Linked DNA regions of Diceros bicornis minor. The protein of the gene in region 2 purifies or fractionates together with the protein of the main gene of each other region. This does not show direct contact. Links are inferred from orthologs where the notes say so. Each region holds a gene or a part of one and is shown on either strand. Other genes may lie near its edges.

Evidence for each region. Proteins that work in one complex are often made in the same cells at the same time.
Region 1: the proteins of WDR24 (region 2) and CASTOR1 purify together in Homo sapiens (affinity purification with mass spectrometry; 3 studies listed by BioGRID and IntAct, counting the BioPlex papers as one, with this or other methods). This does not show direct contact. The link is inferred for Diceros bicornis minor from reciprocal best matches to the Homo sapiens genes WDR24 and CASTOR1.

Annotation. Positions count from the first base shown.
Region 1 is NC_080774.1:23,803,540-23,807,281, reverse strand, and holds the start of CASTOR1 (cytosolic arginine sensor for mTORC1 subunit 1), read left to right. Parts: upstream 1-934; 5' UTR 935-997; coding exon 998-1,110; intron 1,111-1,717; coding exon 1,718-1,788; intron 1,789-2,981; coding exon 2,982-3,169; intron 3,170-3,254; coding exon 3,255-3,387; intron 3,388-3,641; coding exon 3,642-3,742. UniProt on the Homo sapiens protein: Functions as an intracellular arginine sensor within the amino acid-sensing branch of the TORC1 signaling pathway. As a homodimer or a heterodimer with CASTOR2, binds and inhibits the GATOR subcomplex GATOR2 and thereby mTORC1.
Region 2 is NC_080765.1:47,631,407-47,635,148, reverse strand, and holds the start of WDR24 (GATOR complex protein WDR24), read right to left. Parts: upstream 2,583-3,742; 5' UTR 1,784-2,582; coding exon 1,303-1,783; intron 154-1,302; coding exon 1-153. UniProt on the Homo sapiens protein: Catalytic component of the GATOR2 complex, a multiprotein complex that acts as an activator of the amino acid-sensing branch of the mTORC1 signaling pathway. The GATOR2 complex indirectly activates mTORC1 through the inhibition of the GATOR1 subcomplex.

The DNA of each region.
Region 1 (3,742 bases), on a different chromosome or scaffold from region 2:
TCAGGTCTGAGATTTTGAGTACCCAGTCAGCCCCAGATGCATGGGTCCATCCCCCAAAGTCTGAGGCTTGGGCATTCCTGGGCCAAGCACTTAGTCTTGAGGGGGGCCTCAAGCCTTAGGCCTGGCCACCTTCAGCTCTCTACCCCCTCAGACAGAGGTGGCTGGGGTCCTCCTTGTCTCTGTGACCCTGGTGGGGAGACTTCTACTCTGAAAATTGGGTGAGAGGAACAGGTGTGGGGGCCACCAAGGCCAGGCAGGTTTCACATTGTCAGCCCACTTGCAGGGCTCACAAAGCAAGGAGGGGTATATATCAATACCAGTCCTGGACAGCCCTTGCTGCCCATCACTTCACCACCACTTTTGTCTCCACCACTCCAGCCAGCTCTGGTGGCCCTGCCCCATGCTGAGCCATGAAAGGAAGGAGAGAGAAAGGCGCCAGGACACTGCTGGGAATCTCAGGGTCACCCAGGCTGCACAGCCGACCCCTACCCTATGCTCCAGGGGTTTGGGGGCAGCATTCTGGGTCCCAGCGGAGCCCCAGTTGGCCTCGCGGTCTTTCCAAGCTTCAATGACCTCACTCATAAGACCCTATGGAGGCCAGAGGACAGAACCCCACGCTTCCCGCTTGCTCCAGACCCCGGCGAGGCAGGCATCCTGCGGAAAGGGCGGAGCCCTGGGAGGGGGCGTGGCATGGGCGGGGCCTGGAGGACTCGACGGGGGTGGTGTCAGCGGGTGATCCCCGAGCCAAGGCTAAAGGGGCGGAGCCAGCAGGGGCGGGATTCTGCGGGCTGGAAAGAGTGGGGTCAGGCTCAGGCATCAGAAGAAGGCGTGGCCTCCTCGGATAGGCGTAGCAGTCAGGGAGTGGGACGCGCCGTAGCGGGAGTCGTGGACGCGGCCGCGCGGCGGCTCCTTTAAGCCTCCGGCACCGCCCCCCCCGCCCCGCCCCCGGCGCGGCCAGGGTCTGGTTGGCGGCGGGTTCGGGTCCGCGCGGGCCGCGATGGAGCTGCACATCTTAGAGCACCGGGTGCGGGTGCTGAGCCTCGCCCGCCCAGGTCTCTGGCTCTACACCCACCCGCTCATCAAGCTGCTCTTCCTGCCCCACCGCAGCCGGTGCGCGCCCGGGTTCGGGGGCACAGATGGGGGTGGGCTCCGCGGACTGTCGCTCCGGAACGGGGTCGGGAGATTAGGATCGCCGCGGGGCGAGCGGGAGCCGGCGGGGAGCCCCCCCACCACGGCCGCCATCCCGCCTGGGCCTGCCCTCCCTGGGACCGCCGCCTATCCGGCCCCGTGAGGACCCCTCCCAGGGCCAGTTAAGGCGCAAACAGCCTGGGTTGGTCAGTGCTTAACTCCGAGTGGTGCTAAATGGGGGCATTCCTTTCTGGCGACTTCCATCGGGTCAGCTTCTTCCAGATGCCTCCCATCTGGTCAGCGGGGCGGGTCTATGGGGCCCAAGGTCCGACGCCCCCGGCGCTGTTGCCGCAGGTGAGCCTCTCCTCCCTCCCGGAATGGAAGGGCGGGGGCGCTCCTGCGGAGGTAGGGAGTCGGAAAACAATTCGAGATTCCGGAGGTGGAGCCCACACCCCACTGCCCTGGGGAGAAAATTGAGGCTTGAGGGGGCAGGGAGGCGCCCCGCGGGGGTCTTTCCAGGCAGATGGAGCGAAGTCTACCCGCCCCCTTCGCCCAACCCAGGCTGAAGATGCCCCCTACTCCCAACCAGGTGCAAGTTCTTCAGCCTGACGGAGACCCCCGAGGATTACACGCTCATGGTGGACGAGGAGGGCTTCAAAGGTGGGGCTGGGCTGGGCAGGGGGCGTAGGGGATGTCGCACTCCCGTCTTTTCGGGATTCTCACTAGATTCTGGGATCCAATATCCCAAGAGCTGGGGCCTTTAAGGCGGATGAATCTGGGTTCGGATTCGACTCCACCACTCACTGGCTGTGTGCCCTTTGACAAGTAACTTCCCCTCTCTGAGCTATTTGTTTCCTCTTATGTAAAATGATATAGTTATAGTTCTGATCTAATAGGGTCCCATGAGGGCTTTATAAACGGGGCTGTATGTGAAGGTCGCTTAGCAGCCTCAGGCCAGCAGCAAAACCTCTGTTAACGTTTCTGGCCAAGAATCGGGTTCCTGTGGCTCTTATACCCCACTGGCCATTGTTTCTCCCTGGACTTCTCTCCCTAGTGCTGGTGCCCCCCTCCCGGACTGGTCTGGGAAGTCCAGGAGTCTGAGGGTTGGGGAAAGAATGCAGGAGCAGGCAGTGAGCCCAGGGCAAGGTCCTGGGGGGCCTCCTGGCTGTGCCTGGGCGATTAGCAGCCACCCTGGCCTTGGCTTCTATTCTGTACTGGACGCCAGCCTGGTCCCTCCCAGGTCCCTGGAACTGACATCTGTCTCATACTACTGCCAGCCTGACCTGTCCTCACAGGCCTGGAATCTCAGGCCAGCCAACTGGGGCTTGGCCCACCTCCCACTGCACAGCTTCAGGTCTTGGTTTCCCTATGTGTACCGCAGGAAAGGCTGAGTGTGCTAAGGGGGAAGGGCATACCCCAGCCAACCTGATCTGCTGGCGCCCCCTAGTGGTGTCACATGGTGTAAAACTTGTTAAGCCAGGAAACGCTGTCGTGAGGTAGATAGCTGCTGTCATCCCATTTTACAGATGAGGAAACTGAGACTCAGAGAAGTTGAATCATTTGCTCCAGGTCAACAGCAAGTAAATGGCGAAGCTGGGATTTGAACCCAGGTCTGTCTGAATCTGGAGCTTCAATCTTAACTGGGAAGTTTCAATTCCTGGCAGGCCAGCACTTGAAGCATTTCTCAGTCCTTGCATACATGCAGGTCTCAGGAGCAGGACTTGGAGAAGGGAGACAGCCCCAGTCTCCAGACCTGACCTTACCTTGGTAGAGCCCTCCAAGGCACAGACAGGGAAACAGGGGCAGGGGCCAACCCTGCAGGCCCTGACCGGGCGTGTGCCCCCTGCCCACAGAGCTGCCCCCGTCCGAGTTCCTGCAAGTGGCTGAGGCCACATGGCTGGTGCTGAATGTGTCATCCCACAGCGGCGCAGCCGTGCAGGCTGCTGGGGTCACCAAGATCGCCCGCTCAGTCATTGCGCCATTGGCCGAGCACCACGTGTCCGTGCTGATGCTGTCCACTTACCAAACGGACTTCATCCTGGTGAGTTTCCCGCAGGCGCCGGTGCAGGGCAGGTGGGCATGGGTGCCTGGGGACCCATGTGATGTGCCATCTCCTTGCGGTCCAGGTGCGGGAGCAGGACCTGTCCAAGGTGATCCACACACTGGCCCAGGAGTTCGACATTTACCGAGAGGTGGGCGGGGAGCCTGTGCCTGTTGCCAGGGCTGATTCCAGCAACGGCTTTCCCCGTGCCCAGCATGGTGAGGGCCGCCCTCTGACACCCAAACCTGGGTGGGGTCTCCTCTTCCCACTGAGGCCCTTCTCTTGTGCGCGTGGGTCTGTGGGTATGGGGAGCCCAGCTGACAATGATCACCTCACAAGGTGGGGAGATGGGGTGGGGGAAAGCTGTAGCCAGTTCCCGTAGAGCATGACCCTGCATTCATCCCAGGCCCCACCAGGGGACGCCCCAGCCCACAGTTGCCTTTTCACCTGCCAATGCCTGGTCCCTCCCTAGCAGGGCCCAGCCCCACAGTGCATCCCATCCAGAGTCCACAGAACCGCTTCTGTGTCCTCACGCTGGACCCTGAGACGCTGCCAGCCATCGCCACCACCCTC
Region 2 (3,742 bases):
AGAAGACAGGCCCATTGTGAGCAGTGAACATCCTCTCACAGCGGTCAGGCCGCCGAATGTCCCAGAGCTGCACGTTGCCATTCTCAAAGGTGGAGGCGAAGGTGAAGTAGTCCCGGATGCTGAACTGGACATCCCGCACACTCTCAGACTGGCCTGTGAGCCGGACACCAATGGAGGAAGAAGATGAGGGGGCCTCCCCACAGGGGGCTCCAAGAGGGAGCGCGGCCAAGGTGGAGCCTTGGAGTGGCTGTAGACCGGTGTCACATGCCTGCCTGTGGCCCAGGCTGGGAGGCCTGGATGGTGGAGTGGACACCCTCAAGGACTGCGTAGGGTGGAAGGGGTGAGGAAAGGTCTCACAGAGCAGACACAACAGCCTGGGCCAGGGAGCTGGATACCAGGCATTGGATGGTTTTTGACACAAACTCCTGGACCTCGATTTTCCCCAGATTTTGCATCTGATGTCAGTGGTTGTGCAAAGCTGTGGCTTGGCTTCAGGACTGAGTATCAGAGCACTGAGCAAACAGGAGCCTCACTGCGCCATCTGTCCACACTCCCTGGGGGTCCTGAGGCCCTCGAGGGAGGCCCAAGGAGGCACGGATGCGGGTGCCCCAGCCTCTGCCCAGTCTTTCACCTTGAGCTAGAGGTGCTGGGTCAGCCCCAGAGGACCAGAGAGGCCTTGAGGGCCCATGCCCAACTGTGTGGACTGCCACACCAAGAGCCTTTGAGGGCAGTGTCCAGCTTTCCCTCAGCACAGGTAGCTCAGGGTTTGTCTTAAAAGGCCCCCCAATTCTCTCACGCCTCTGAGGGCCCTGTGCTTCACTTGGTTTCATTGAAGTGAACAAGGGAGAGCTAGCTCAAGGCTATCTAACAGGGAGCTGGGCCTGCTGGGAAAGGAACCCCGCCTCCTTTGCTTTCCTGGGCTGAGGACCCGGTAGACTTCCTGCAGTGAGGTGGCCTGGCGCTCTGAGGCAGGGGAAGAGAAGGCAGTGAAACAAACCCTCTGCCTGGCCACCCAGGTTGGCTGTGGTCTGCTCAGGCTCTGCCCTCTCCCTCATCCCACACCCAGCCTCGACTCCTGCTGGCCCCACAGGTGCATCAGAGCTGCAAGCACACTCCAGGTACCCCTCTCCTCCCCTGCTGATCCCCACCCACTCTTGCAGTGCTCGGCTGGCCCCTCCTCCAGGAAGCCGTCTGGCAGCACAGCTGAGGACCTTTGATGCACACGGCACTTTTCAACCTGCCTGGACAGGCCAGCCGCCTGCAAAGACACAGACCTGCCCGACCTGCCTCCCAGGACCTCACCTGAGAAGGTGCTGACAGAGTCCTTCCTGCGGAGGTCGAAGCACTTCATGAAGCCATCCTGGGAGCCACTGAGCAGCACGTGGGCCTCAGTGGGGTGGAAGCAGACTTTGTTCACCGTGCGCTTGTGCTCCGTGAACAGCTGGTCCTGCTTGTTGCGAGACGGCCGGCCCAGGTTCCACGTGACCACCACGCCGTTGGTGGCCGCTGTGGCCAGCAGGTTCTCATCCATCTGGTGCCAGACAACATCGGCGCAGCTCAGGTTGAGTGAGGGCTTGCGGCCCACACGCAGGTTCAGCTTCTCCACAAACTGCTCCTCCTCAATGGCATAGATCTTGAAAATGCTGCGGCCTGCCACGACCACCTGGGCCGCGTCACGGCACACACTGATGGCATTGGCCGGCGCATCCAGGTGGCAGTGCATGGTGCGGCCCGTCAGTGCACTGCCACCCAGGGCCGTGGTCACTCGGGACATCTTCTCCATGGCTGCACAGGTGGTGGGCACAGGAGGTCAGTGAATTGGGCTGGCCAGGTCAGCCTAGGGGGAACTGTCAGTTCAGATCCTTCACCCTGGTTGGGTCCCCCAAAACTGCGTAGGCCTGGGCTGGTCGCTCTGGGTGAGCCAGACCAGGGCAGTCCACTGTTACTCAGTGGTCAGTCTGATAGGCGAGTTCCATCACCCTGGCCGGGCGGTGAGAAGGCGCCGTGGCTGCCCTGAGGCTGGTCAGTCCCATGTCTGACTTCTGGGGACGACCTTACCTGGTCAGTCCCAGCCCAGGCCACCTCTCCATGCCCCCAACGGTCAGATCTGGACGGTCGCTGGACCTTCGGTCATTCAGTCCCAGCAGGGAAGAGAGGTGGTCCCCACCGTCCACACAGTCGGCCTCCGGGAGGGGGCGGAGGGCTGCGGGGCGCGGGGGAAACAGAGGGACCTCAAGGACCGAGCTGTTTAAGGAGCCCGAGGGGTCTGGCAGGGCGGGAGAGAGGAGACGCCGGCGGCGCGGACTCCTGCGGTCAAGGGCGGCGCGGGGGAGCGGAGGCGGTGGGAACAGAGCCTGAGAACCCGGCGAAGCTTCGCGTTCCGCCAGCACCCGAACTATTTCCTAAAATTGCCCGGCCGGGCCGGGCCGGAAGCACCGCGCCGGAAACAGCTCGTCTCTTTCCTGGCCCTCGCCGGAAGTGGTCCGTTTCTTGTCAGCCCCTCGCCGGAAGCGGGCGCCCACACCACGAAAGTTCCGGATCTGGGAGCTGTGCTGGTGGAGGCGAAGGAATGGTCCAAGGACTGGGGTAGGGGTGCTTTCCCGGCTCCGCCTCGGTGGTTGGTCTTTTTATCGCAGTATTCTAATACCAGTGCTCATCTCTCCTCCAAGTCCACCAGCAAGTCCGGGCATCCCTCAACGAGTCCCGAATCGCGCCAGTCGTCTCCACCTCCTTCCTCGGAGTGGACCCCGGGAGCAGTCTCCGCGCGGCTCTCCCTGGTCCCTCGTTCCCCCGTCTGACCCCCGCCCGGCACCCAGGTGCCGCTCTTCAGCCTAAGGCCCCCCGAGGTCCCCGCCGCGCTGTGAATGAATCCCAAAGCCGCGGCCTCGTCTCTGCCGGCACGTTCTCGCCGCGGCGGCTGCCGCCCGCCCGCCCGCTGTGCTGCCTCGAGGCCGCTGAGCGTGCCGTGCTCGCTCTCCTCCGGACCGCGCCTCCTTATCACCCTTCGGGGTTCGGCCTGCGTGTCACCTTCTCAGAGGCCCTCCCTGGTCACCGCATCTAACGGGGCCTCTCCACTCACTGTCAGCTCCGCAGCGCTTGTCACAACTGTTCTTTGTTTACTGGTTATTGTCGCACACCAGTGTGAACTCCACCAGGCAGGGATCCAAGGGCTCCATGCCTGACACGACCTGTTCACGCAACCCATTCAGTCAGTGACCCTCTCTCAGCCTCCCTTCCTCTCCTGGGCATGAGTCCTGGTCGGTCCTTGCTGCCCTGTGATCTTTTAGGACATCCCTGCCCCTCTCTTACTCTTAGTTACTTTGTGCATGAAACAGGGCTCATTTTTGCCCTTCTGGAAGGATGGGCTAAATCCTAGAAATTTTGGAGGAAATATTCTGTGTGAAGACTTTAATATCTGTCTCTCCCCCTTTAAGCAATGAGAGGTTAGAAGCCTTCTGTGTTGGTCACTGCTGGGTTTCCAGTTTGGCACAGTGGCACCCAGCCTCTGCATGTTTGTTGAAAGGACCAGTAAGTCTGATGAGTTGAGAGGCGCACAAGAATCCAGAGACTGGGCCACCCAGGGCAGAGACACCATTCCCCGCCATGGGCTGATGACCTAAAAACAACTCAGACACGTCTTTTTACAACTTTTTTAATATATATTTTTATAAACAGTTCACATGATAAAATAGCACAAGAAACACTTACCAAATATAAGGTTATATCTTCCGCATATACAGGA